2 linked regions of the Arabidopsis thaliana genome follow. The protein of the gene in region 2 interacts with the protein of the main gene of each other region in a pairwise test. Each region holds a gene or a part of one and is shown on either strand. Other genes may lie near its edges. The genes, in order: ABCB25 and AT2G23200.

Evidence for each region.
Region 1: the proteins of AT2G23200 (region 2) and ABCB25 interact in a protein complementation assay, tested with the Arabidopsis thaliana proteins (one large-scale study listed by BioGRID).

Annotation. Positions count from the first base shown.
Region 1 is NC_003076.8:23,559,990-23,567,830, forward strand, and holds ABCB25 (ABC transporter of the mitochondrion 3), read left to right. Parts: upstream 1-1,940; 5' UTR 1,941-2,178; coding exon 2,179-2,827; intron 2,828-2,904; coding exon 2,905-2,966; intron 2,967-3,046; coding exon 3,047-3,090; intron 3,091-3,187; coding exon 3,188-3,290; intron 3,291-3,436; coding exon 3,437-3,544; intron 3,545-3,868; coding exon 3,869-3,952; intron 3,953-4,018; coding exon 4,019-4,079; intron 4,080-4,351; coding exon 4,352-4,497; intron 4,498-4,602; coding exon 4,603-4,719; intron 4,720-4,873; coding exon 4,874-4,959; intron 4,960-5,253; coding exon 5,254-5,342; intron 5,343-5,438; coding exon 5,439-5,494; intron 5,495-5,635; coding exon 5,636-5,716; intron 5,717-5,964; coding exon 5,965-6,030; intron 6,031-6,108; coding exon 6,109-6,201; intron 6,202-6,536; coding exon 6,537-6,601; intron 6,602-6,695; coding exon 6,696-6,831; intron 6,832-6,910; coding exon 6,911-7,051; 3' UTR 7,052-7,255; downstream 7,256-7,841. Other genes in the region: EMB3143 (YCF54), read left to right, coding at 1-90, 191-383; NdhN (oxidoreductases, acting on NADH or NADPH, quinone or similar compound as acceptor), read right to left, coding at 1,086-1,143, 1,222-1,307, 1,373-1,489, 1,572-1,940; AT5G58280 (AP2/B3-like transcriptional factor family protein), read left to right, coding at 7,349-7,549, 7,628-7,726, 7,807-7,841. UniProt on the Arabidopsis thaliana protein: Performs an essential function in the generation of cytoplasmic iron-sulfur proteins by mediating export of Fe/S cluster precursors synthesized by NFS1 and other mitochondrial proteins. Not required for mitochondrial and plastid Fe-S enzymes.
Region 2 is NC_003071.7:9,877,607-9,882,525, reverse strand, and holds AT2G23200 (Protein kinase superfamily protein), read right to left. Parts: upstream 3,252-4,919; 5' UTR 3,176-3,251; coding exon 671-3,175; 3' UTR 602-670; downstream 1-601. Other genes in the region: CYP81D7 (cytochrome P450, family 81, subfamily D, polypeptide 7), read right to left, coding at 3,519-4,133, 4,216-4,599, 4,836-4,919.

The sequences.
Region 1 (7,841 bases), on a different chromosome or scaffold from region 2:
GCCTAAATTCCTTGACAATTTCCCCAAAATTACTCAAAGACTTCGTCGTCCTGCTGTTGCTCTTGTTTCCACCAATGGCACCTGGATCACGTTAGAACCCTAATCCCAATCTCTCTCTTTTCAAAATTACGTTCCTCACTCCCTCCTTATCTAACGCATTTGTGTTTTGCAATTTGTTGTTTTATGGCAGGTTTATGAAGTTAAGATTGGATCGTGTTCTGTATGATTCCTTTGAAGCTACCTCTCTTGATGAAGCTTTGGCCTCCAATCCTACCACTCTTGAGTTCGATAAGCCTAAAAATTGGGTGGCGCCATACCCCAAGTATGAACCTGGATGGTGGGATACCTTCTTGCCTAAAGTAACCCAAGAATCTGCAGTATAGAACTTTGCTTTTTGTCTTGTTTTTGCATTCTCCAATCTCAGCTTTGTCTTAGTGCTTCAAAGTTTTGTACTACTGAGCTCATTATCCAAGTCTATATCTTTCCTAGTGTAGCTTCTATTACTCAAAGTTGCCTGTTTGATACGTCACTGACTCAAGGTTAAGCATAGAACTAGACAACAAAAAGCATCCTCACATTTAGCTCCATCAAAGTCTTAAGGGTGACCATATTTGTTGATTTCTCACGAGAATATTGGCAAGAACCTTCAGTTAAAGCTCTAGGTATTAAGTTGTCTAGTCACAGGAGGGCAATATGCCTACTCGCTGAAGAACTTTGCAAAAGATCTGAATTTTTTGGTTTTCAAAACGATTTGTGGACTCGGAACATGTTGTTACTCGTTAGGTCTAGTGACTGGAGTTGATCAAAGTAAGTTGCACATGTTTCTGCTGAATCAAGTGTTCTATGTTGTACTTCTGGATTGCTCTGTAGTCTGTATCTAAGCGTGTCCTATCAATCTTACTGATTATACATACTTTTATTTGTGACAAAGCAGAGTCAGAAATTATCTTTAACTACTCCATGGGAATATACTACCAAGTTACAAATACAGATTTTAACTTTTACTATGGGATGAGTATTGCTACACTTGCGGGAGATGCATTCATGAAAAACTATACACTGGTAGCTCCACTTGTGCCATTAAGTTACTCTTGTGCAGCTAGATTTGCAATTTCTGCTAGAGGCTTCCACACGAACTTTCTCCTGCAGGGGAATTGGTAATGGTCATGCAAATTGCAAACATAGATGATTAGTGTGTATGGTAAGGAATGATATACTCACCAGTTGCCACATTCAGCAATAACCCTGACGTTAGGACGAAGAGAGGGAAGTAAAGCGAGAAATTGAAGCTCCGATTTTGAGAGGACCTGAGTGAAATGGAAATATGAGAAAGAGCATGTGGGAGAACAGATCAAATGAGAGAAACTCAAACCTTTGCTTCGAGGACCCATACAACAAGACCCTTGGCACTAGGGGGAAGAGCAGCGAGCCTGTAATCAACTTCTGGTGGATAATACCATCTTGCTATAGGTTGTTTCCCAAGATGAGCCTAAAAGAAGAGAAGATACATGGTTCACACAAAATTATATTGAAACAAGATTAAAGTAGAAGATGGATGAAAGTAGACATACAGGGCAAACAGGGTAGTTCTTGAGAAGGGTAGTCTCAGGGTCACCAAGGCCACGAGCAGAGATGTCAAGAAAGTAGTAGCCCTGCATTTTGAGACGGTTAAGATAACGACCTTCGTAACCACCCTCATGAGGAGCGTAAATGGCGATTGCCTTGTGTTCTTCCACGTCTTGAAGCCATTGTCCGATGTCCGGCTTCACCAAGTCACCTCCGATGTAGTCAGCTATGCTGCTACATTTCACACCAGTGCTTCTTCTTCTCTTACTCCTAGTATTCACCAAAAAGGAACCAACTGTTTTGATCTTCTTCACTTGCGAGGCTTCAAAACACGGTGGTGCCACACGTTGTATACATATTGCACGGCTTCCCATTTCTTTACTAACAATGACTTCTTGTGGAAGTAGCTCATAATAAACATTGCTTGACGACGATGATGATGAAAGAATGGTGGAGAAACGACGACTCACTCCACAAAGGGATAGACATTAATGGGCTTAAAATGTATTGGGCTTTATTTATTAGGCCCATTAAGCACCGCCGAACGTCGTGACATTGTTAGCTAGCTCGCCGGAGCAAAATTCAGTCTGTGAAACTTTCGGAGAAGAAGGGATGTCGAGAGGATCTCGATTCGTTAGGGCTCCTGGGCTCTTACTCTGTCGCGTTAATCTTCAACCTCAACCCAAAATCCCATCTTTTTCCTACAGTCTTCGCTCTGATTATCGTCTTCATAATGGTTTCTCCAATTACATCAGACGTAACTCAATTCGAACATCTCCGGTTATCAATGCCTTCCTCTCAGATAACTCACCATCCCCGTCACCATCACCATCCCCAATTCGTTTTGTTCAACGGAGTTCAATGCTTAATGGTCGTCTCTTCTCGACTTCTACTCCCAATCCAGACCAAACCACCACCAAGACTAAGGAAATCAAGACAACCTCGTCGGATTCAGACTCAGCTATGGCTGACATGAAGATTCTCCGTACGCTTGCTGGCTATTTGTGGATGAGAGACAATCCAGAATTCCGTTTCAGGGTCATCGCTGCTTTGGGTTTTCTCGTGGGTGCTAAGGTCTTGAATGTCCAAGTCCCTTTCCTCTTCAAATTAGCTGTTGATTGGCTTGCTTCAGCTACCGGTACTGGAGCCTCACTTACCACCTTCGCTGCTACAAACCCAACTCTTCTTACTGTTTTTGCTACTCCTGCTGCTGTTCTCATTGGATACGGGATTGCTCGGACGGGTTCTTCTGCTTTTAATGGTAACTCTCAATAGCTCTAGTTTTCTTTAAAAAAGAATGCACTTTTCACTCTTGGTTGTTACTTTTCATCATCGCAGAACTTCGTACTGCTGTGTTCTCTAAGGTAGCTCTCCGAACAATACGATCTGTTTCTAGAAAGGTATGCTGCTGCTGCTCTAAACTATCTTGTCGATAGAGATATTTTAATGTATGAATCAATTTCATATGGTCGCTTTGCAGGTGTTCTCACATTTACATGATCTTGACCTTCGTTACCACCTAAGGTATCTATCTCTCCTCTCTTACTCTTGTGAGTAGTCTCGCTCATTCCATCTTAGATTCATCTCATCATAACTTCCTTACTTAATTGCTTATGTCCAGTCGAGAAACAGGCGGCTTGAACAGGATTATTGATCGTGGTAGCCGTGCAATAAATTTTATCCTCTCAGCTATGGTTTTCAATGTTGTTCCTACCATATTGGAGGTAAAGCTTGTCTGACCACTTGGTGCTTTCTCATGATCATTGTTTTTTTTCTCATTTTGAATAATTGGCAGTTGCTCATTCATATTTGGATTTCACTATTCATTCGTCTCTAAAAACACTCGACGTAATTAATATGTATCTTTCAGATATCTATGGTATCAGGTATACTGGCATACAAGTTTGGAGCTGCTTTTGCCTGGATTACTTCTCTCTCCGTTGGATCATATATCGTTTTCACATTAGCTGTGACACAGGTACTGTGCCTTTTTCGGTATTCTCTTTTCAATGCCAACTATAATGCAATACTTGCGTTATTATCATGATAATCCAGCAATAACTGTGATATTTTATTTAAGAAACTACTATAGTATACATTGTTCTGGAATTCGTTACTAAGCTTCTCTAATCTTAACTGTATCAACTCTTTGGATCGGCTTAAATCATTCTAGTTGTGATATTAGGTTTGATGATGTATAGAAGGATAGTTGTCTTCATACATTCTCTTCAACTTTCATTATCTTGTTACAAATCTTTTTGGTGTCAAACGCTTTGCTCACGGTTTTATTTATTTTATCCAGTGGCGAACCAAGTTTAGAAAGGCTATGAACAAAGCTGATAATGATGCTAGCACAAGGGCCATTGATTCTCTGATAAATTATGAGGTAAATTTTTAATCTTAATCATTTTGCTTGACTTGCAGTTTTGACAGAATTTCTTTTTCGTTTCAGACTGTCAAATATTTTAACAATGAAGGTTATGAGGCTGAAAAGTATGACCAGTTCCTGAAAAGTAAGTAACTCTACTAGCTGTTTAGATGAAAACATTTATCTTAATTTCCAAAAAAAAAGAGAAAATTCTCCAGTTTTAGTTTGAGCAAGAATAGTAGCAACAAGCCAACAAGTAACAAATGTAGATCAGAAAATGCGCTGATGACTCTTTTTACATCTTTATTTACACGTTCTTTTTCTAGGAAGAAAACCGATTGATATTTTACCATAATATATTATTGCTCCGTCCATTTACCTTAATTTATCTTGTGACGATTCTGCTGCTTATCCCAGAATATGAAGATGCTGCCCTGCAAACTCAAAGAAGTCTTGCTTTCTTAAACTTTGGACAAAGTATCATATTTAGTACAGCTTTATCAACAGCAATGGTGTTGTGCTCTCAGGGTATCATGAATGGCCAGATGACAGTCGGTGATTTGGTCAGTGCGTCCTTTGATTTTTCCTTGACATTGGTATTTTATGTTTCTCTGCATTTTTTATCCAAATTGTTTTCTAATAAGCTTTTGCATATTTGGGTGATGCAGGTTATGGTGAATGGACTTCTCTTTCAGCTGTCTCTTCCTCTAAATTTTTTGGGTAGTGTTTACCGTGAAACAATTCAGAGCCTTGTGGACATGAAATCAATGTTCCAGTTGCTAGAGGTATGTGAGGATGTTATAATTGTTTCTTTAAACTCTGCATTTGGTTAAGTTTCTTAAACACTTTTTTTTTTATGATAATGCTTTAAATGCATGCTTTTTAGTATGCACTCCTGGCATGTTGAATTGATTATGTGGTATTCTCTTACTGTTTCAGGAGAAATCTGACATCACAAATACAAGTGACGCAAAGCCTCTTGTACTGAAAGGTGGAAACATTGAGTTTGAAAATGTACACTTCAGGTAGGTGTTGATTTTAGTGGAACATTACTGTCATACTAATCGTTGGAGCCATAGTATCTTGGGTATGAAAGTGTGTTAAGATTAATATGAGTAATTAACTCAAATTTTATTTAACTTATGAACTCAATACACCCCAGAAAGTCTTTACTAATTAGCTTTGTTGAGCTTATCAAAGTGGCAAATTATAAGACATTGCATGATTTGGATATCAGCTTCATGTTGTGGCTGAAGACGAAGGGGGTTAATAACTTATGTCTATTGCCACATCATCTTTCTCTTTTTCTACAATTACAGTTACCTTCCAGAGAGAAAAATATTAGATGGAATTTCCTTTGTCGTACCGGCAGGAAAAAGTGTGGCAATCGTTGGTACTAGCGGGAGCGGTAATTCCTAAACCTCTTCTGTTTAAGCATCTAAGTTCTGTGTAAATTTGTTATTCTGGTATACTGTTGCAAATCTTATTATTTGTTCTATGGCAGGCAAGTCAACAATTCTTAGGATGCTATTCAGATTCTTCGACACAGATTCCGGAAATGTAAGCATTTTTTTTGTTTGTGAAATGTGGGGTCTTGTTTGGAAGCATTGTAGCAACGAAAGTACACCCTGCTGCAGAGAAATTTAGTGAAGAAAATGCTTGGTATCTAGATAACATCTTTTTTGTCATGTTGGTTAACAGATAAGGATTGACGGGCAAGATATAAAGGAAGTGAGACTAGATAGCCTCCGAAGCTCCATAGGAGTTGTGCCGCAAGATACTGTAAGTTGGCATTTCTCTACTTCTCATCGTGAGGCTTTTTGTTATATACACCACTATGACCTGCATTCATTTGTTTCTCGCCTTTCTTCTCATTGTAACTTCTCTGGTCATGCTAGACACTTGATTTTTTTTATGTTTTTTTTCACTTTTCTTCTCTTTTATTTTTCATATGTATCATTGTTAGCTTTTGTGAAGGTATAGCACTCCAAGTTTTGTTGTTCTCAAGGGTAATCTCTACTGCACTGCAGGTTCTCTTCAATGACACAATATTTCACAACATACATTATGGACGTCTCTCAGCTACAGAAGAAGAGGTACCAGTCAACTTATACTTGGTGGAAATGTCAAGTTTAATATCAATAATCCTCATCTAACATAAATTTTCAATCCAGGTGTATGAGGCTGCTCGGCGTGCTGCAATTCATGAAACAATCAGTAATTTCCCTGATAAATATTCCACGATCGTTGGGGAAAGGGGGCTCAAGGTCAGTATTTTGATGTTATATCTGGAATGCATGATTGAGTTATGGGGAGTTAGTCACCCGTCGTTTTTGTCATTGTCATAATCAAAGTAAAACAAGCTAAGTCAATCAGGCTTCCAAGTCAAAGTTCACCTGTTGAAAACTTGATGAAGAATATGATCTAATAAACTAGTTTCGCAGGACTGTAACAATCATGAAAAATAAAAGATTTAACTGATTGAGGTTTTCTATATAATGGCAAAGAGTAGCATTGATGAGTGACCATCCTGAGTTTGAGTAGAGTCATATATTGATGGGGTTTTTGTATTGTGATAACCATGGAGTGGTGTTGTGTGCAGTTGAGTGGTGGAGAGAAACAAAGAGTGGCACTTGCTCGGACATTTTTGAAATCCCCTGCGATTCTGTAAGTAACTTTGCACAGAAGCAGCATTGAGTTTACTTATGTGATTATGTACGTGTCTAGTCCTCACATACATAGAGATGGTTGGTGTACACAGGTTGTGTGATGAGGCAACGAGTGCGCTGGACAGCACAACAGAGGCAGAGATACTGAACGCACTCAAGGCACTAGCGAGTAACAGGACATCTATCTTCATTGCCCACAGGCTGACCACTGCGATGCAATGTGACGAGGTTTGTAGTAAATAGTGTTTGTCAACTTAGCTCAAAGAAACAATGTTTTTGCATAACTGAAACTTTTGGTTGCGGGCAGATCGTAGTACTGGAAAACGGGAAGGTGGTGGAACAAGGCCCCCACGACGAGCTATTGGGAAAATCAGGGAGATATGCGCAGCTATGGACACAACAAAACAGCAGCGTGGATATGCTTGATGCAGCTATCAAATTGGAATAGTGAACCTCAGAGCCAAATGTGTAAAATTTATATTTATCTCATTGATTTTCTATGGAGCTTATATAGTTAATAGAGTCCCAAAGAACACAAAACAAAGGGAATAATAAATAGTGGTGAATGATATAATTTTAACACGAGTTTTTGTTGAGCAAGTAAACTTACGATAAAAAAATGATCAATTTTATTAGTTAAAGCCCAAATAGGCCCAACTAGTTATTAATTAATTAACAAGAAGAAGTCCGTGATTTCGAAATTCAAACGAAGCGCCATTTCTTTCTCCTCCTAGGAAACTCTGCAATGGCCATGGCCTATGAGGAAGCTCGCAAGCTCCGTCTTCAAGAGAATCACAAGCGATTTCAAGTTACCCTTCATCGTTACCGCGTTTCTTCTTCTCCTCCTTCTCTGATTCGTTTATCAATTTTGATTATTGAATCTCAGGATTTAGGAATTTCCCAGATTTCTAAGACTCTGACTCAGATTACAAAGAAAACGCCTCAGGTTTCGTGTTTTTTCCTTCCATTTCTGCTTCATTCCTAGTCCAATTTTGTAGCTTTACCACAATTTCAGCTTCTTCAGCAGCGTAATCACAAACCCATCGATAAAGCCCTCTTAGCTACTGCTGAACCAAGACGCTCTTCCCGTGTTCGTACCGTAATTTCTTCCTATCGCGATGATGTAATTTTCCCAGCTTTCTCTTACTTCTGTAATAGATTTTTCACAGCAATCAATCAACCCAATCCCTTGTCTCTTTTCAGGTCGTCGTAGACACTGGTCGTACTTCGAATCTGAG
Region 2 (4,919 bases):
TTAAAAAACAGAGGAGTTCCATTTCTATGGGTGATACGGCCAAAGGAGAAGGCCGAAAACGTTGACGTTTTGGAAGATATGGTTGAAGAAGGTCAAGGAGTTGTTATTGAATGGGGTCAACAAGAGAAGATACTATGCCATATGGCGATCTCTTGTTTTGTCACTCATTGTGGATGGAACTCGACGATCGAGACGGTGGTGAGTGGTGTTCCGATGGTGGCGTATCCGACTTGGTTTGATCAGCCGCTTGACGCGAGATTGCTTGTTGATGTGTTTGGAATCGGAGTACGGATGAAGAACGATGTCGTCGATGGAGAGCTTAAGGTTGCTGAGGTGGAGAGATGCATTGACGCCGTGACAAAGGGTACCGACGCTGCGGATATGAGGAGGAGAGCGGCGGAGTTGAAGCAAGCGACGAGATCGGCGATGGCGCCTGGTGGATCCCTCGCTCGTAATTTGGACTTGTTCATCAACGACATCAAAATCGTTAAAAATGATGTAATTTTAACACCAAAATAGTGTTTAGCCTTCGAAATACCCTATAGACGGACTGTGATTATCTATTAACCGGAAATAACCGGATATTAAATTTTGAAATTGAACCAGATACTGCTAGAAACTTCACATTTCGAAAAAATTATAATTTTACACACAATTGCGAAAGATTTCATCATCTTGCATCAGAGATCTTCAACTGCGAAAAAACTCGAGTCTCCGATGAATCTGTAAATCCAAATCTGTTCTTCGATTCATCACCATTCTGAAATATCGAGTTCGTACTAAACGAATCACTCACCATCAACCTCGGAGCAACCAACGAACCACCGGAATTAATCGCCGTACTATCTTCTTCATGAGCCTCTCGACGATTCGTCATCATCTGTAGCTGAAGAACATACTCAAGATCCCAAATCACATCCCTCATACTCGGTCTCTCATCTCCATACTCTTTCAAACATTTCTCAGCAATTTCCATGAATTTCTTCAACGAATTCGTCTCAATTTGACCTATCAAACTCGGATCTAAGATCTCATCGATTGTACCTTTTGATTTGCAGAACATCACCCATTCCGATAGATTCACTTCTTCGTGAGGAAGATAAGGATCTATAGCTGGTCTCGCGAACAGTACCTCGAGGAGGACGACTCCGAATGCGTAAACATCTGATTTCTCTGTTAATTTATGTGTTTGGAGATATTCTGGATCCAAGTAACCGAATGTTCCTTTGATGTTTATGCTGATATTGCTTTCATCTTGATTATGAATTTTCGATAATCCGAAATCTGCGACTTTTGCTATATTGTGCTCGTCTAGTAATATGTTTGTTGATTTGACGTCTCTGTGAATGATTGCTCCTTCTGAGCCACTACTGTGGAGATAATCTAAACCTCTAGCTGCTCCAATGCATATCTCTAGTCTTTGTTTCCATGTTAATGAAGGTAGATTCGAGCCGTATAGATGTTCTTTGAGTGTACCTTTCTCCATAAACTCGTAGACGAGGATCATTTCGGAGTTTTCTTCGCAGTATCCCGTTAGCGAGACGAGGTGTCTATGTCGGATTCTTGAGAGGACTTGAATCTCGGTTTGAAACTCTAAGATCCCTTGTCCTGAGCCGGTTTTGCCTCGTTTGATAGCGGCTTTGGTTCCATCGGGAAGAATAGCTTTGTAAACGTAGCCAAACCCGCCTTTCCCGATCAACAACTGCTCGTCGAAGTTGTTTGTAGCGCTTAGAATGTCTGTGAAGGGAATCGTTAAGCCTAAGTGTAGGTTGCGTAATGGGGAGTTGTGGTATTGAGAGATAGGTCTATTGTCTGAACTCCCACCTCTGTGCAATGGCAAAGGAGACCATACAGTGCCCTCAACCTCTGGCTTAGTCTTCTTCGATCTCCTCCGCTTCAAGAATACCATAAACAGCAAACTGAAGACCAAAGCTGATGCAGCAGCAGCAGCAACAGCACAACCAGTGATGATGTGAACCCGGGAACTGCTTCTATTTGAATAATCAGAACCAGATTTACTCAAAACCTCCATCATCTCCAGACCATTCAGAAAACCAGCATCCTTATTGGCCTCCTTGGTACCTATACTGATATTCAAGAGTCCAGAACCATCAGAGACATTCACGACATCCTTAAAAAACGGACTCGCCAACCTAGGCTGCTCTGAAGGCTTTACATCTACTCGCCAATACCCATTTACAAAGAGATAGAAATCGGAGTCGGAGTTTGATAAGTTGCTCAAAATATCAGAAAAATGAATCCTGATGAAGTGTCTATGGTTACTTTTGACCTTGAACGACCATGTAACATTCATCAACATCCCCACCTGCTCATTCGAGCTACGGTTCATTGCTTTAGCTGTCTTGTAGACGAAATCAGGAGCAGTGGAGTCCGTGGCTGAACTTAACCCTCCCACGTAGTTAGGCGTTTGTGTTGAATTAATGTTCCTCGCTGAATCTTTTCGGTAGAGAAAGTCATCATCGTCAGGCAGCCAAGTTCGTCCCAAGGTATCATTATCCGGAGTGATTTTCTCGCCTCCTACGTTTAATCTGTAAATCGTATGCAGATTCTTATCGGAAGCTGATGGGATTTCGAGGTCATCAGGAGCAGAGAACACTTCGATGGCATTGATGAGAGCTAAAGAGGAATGATCGGGCACAAATCGAATTTCGAACTCCAGCGAGTTCATCATCAGGAGAAACTCTTCAACTCGTGGGGTATTAGTGAGATTCTGAGGCGAGAAACTTTTCAAGTGATGATTAGAACCAGAGGTAGCAGAGACAGTGAACCGAGCAGTTAAAAGATCTGCCCGAGAAAACACAACAGAGAAATGGAGACGCACAAAGTGCAGACCCAGAGAATCAAGTTTGAACTTGTAAGAAGAAGGGTGTCTAAATATCCTAACCGTCCGGTATATTTCAGGCGCAACGGACGATTGGTCGTTGATGACTTCAGTTCCTTTGTTGGTGAAGGAAACTGAGTTAGTACTCGAGTTGGTATCTCCGACGAAGGTCTGGCCACCATAAAATACATTAGAATCCGATCCACAGTTGACGTAAAAATTCTCAGGACGGGTGTACGTCGAAGTATCAGAAAGACTGAGACGGGGGAGAAGAACAAGAACCATGATCGTGATAAATAGAGAAACAGAGTCTTGAAAACAGAAATTCTCCATAGCTTTGATGCAGAGAAGGAGAAAGAGAGAAAGTCAAGTCTTTGAGGTCAATGGATGAAAAAACATGTGTGGTCTATGTGAAGACTGGATTGAGGAAGAAGATGAGATTGAAGGAGAAATAGAGAATTGAAATTATTGGTGGAACAAAAAGAAAGAAGACTGGAGTTGACTTTTGAAGTCATCGTCTTTTGTCCCGTGAGAAACAATCACTCTCTAATCTTTTTACCTTTGGCTCCCCAACACTGACCTAGTAAACGGTCAGTCTATACTATTAGATTTTTTGACATGATAAGTTTTTTTACTACATATTTTATTCCCAAGTCAAGGAAAGAAGAGTTACACTTCAAGCAAAAGCATCGAGAAACTTATGGACAATGGGACGAGCTTTACACATGGCTAGCAACGGTGTCGCAGGACGCATCATGGCCATAGGTTCTTCTCTAGTGTCTACATATTCTTCACCAATTCTCTGCCATTCGAAACACTGAACCATCGATCCAAGAGCCAAGCTCATTAACCGATGAGCTAGGCCAACCCCGGGACAAGCTCGTCGTCCAAACCCAAACGACAACAACTTCTGATTAAGCTTTTCATTTTTGAACCTCTCTGGCTTGAACATTTCTGGGGCTTCCCATATAGACGGGTCTCTATGCATGGACCATACGTTCACCAATAACATCGACCCACGTGGAACGTCGTATCCTGCCAATATGCAATCATCTGACGTCATGTGTGGAATATTTGTTGGAGCTACCGGGTAAAGACGTAAGGTCTCCAACACAATCCATTGGAGATAAGGCAGATTTTTAGTATCAGCTTCATCCATTAACCGGTCAAAACCGACTTCGGTATCGATTTCGGTCCTCGCTTTCTCTAATACTTCTGGATGGTTCAACAAATTAAGCATCGCCCATTCTAAAGTCCCTGCTAATGTTTCAGTCCCGGCAAGTATCATAACCTGTAAACTTAAAATCAATAATAAGCTATCATAAAGTTTGATTAGTGTTGTTACATATAGTATATGAATTCCTCAAACTTACAATTATGATTCCTTTAAGAGTGACATCTGTATAGTAATCAGGCTGAGTTTCTTGGAGAGAAAGCAAGTGATCCATCATAGTGTTACCCTTTTGTTTATGCACACGTCTCTCATCCACCAGACTCTGCAAAAACTCATCGACCCGACTCGCCAACTCCTTGACCCCTTTCTCAAAATCTGTGATCCAACGCAAAATCGGTATATAATCGGCTGCATTCCCAACGCCAGCCCTGTACACAATCTCGTCAATCAGTTGTGTCACTCGCCGCGCAACTTCATCTTGTTCTGTCCCCTCTCCATAAAATCGTTTCCCAGCCACCATTCGAAGAATGTTGTTGATAGTCAAATCATAAAACAATTGTCTCATCTCAACCTTTGCAAAACCCTGATTTTAATTATAATCACATAAACAAATGATTAATCCTCAAACTTTCAAAATCATACTTCACAATCTTCATTTGGTATAGAATATTTTTGGCGTCTACAATCTACATTTTGCACATGCACATGGCCAAGTATAAACCTATATAATGAAACAGTGACGGCACTATCACAAATCAATAGGTTATAATATTTTCTGGCTAAGTAAAATGTTTTGATATGTAGAAGAAGCTCACATACATGTTGCGAGTTTTTTGAGAGGCGCAATAACAAGTGTCGGATCTCATCTTTACGGACAGATAAAAAGCCGTTGAGCTTGTGTGA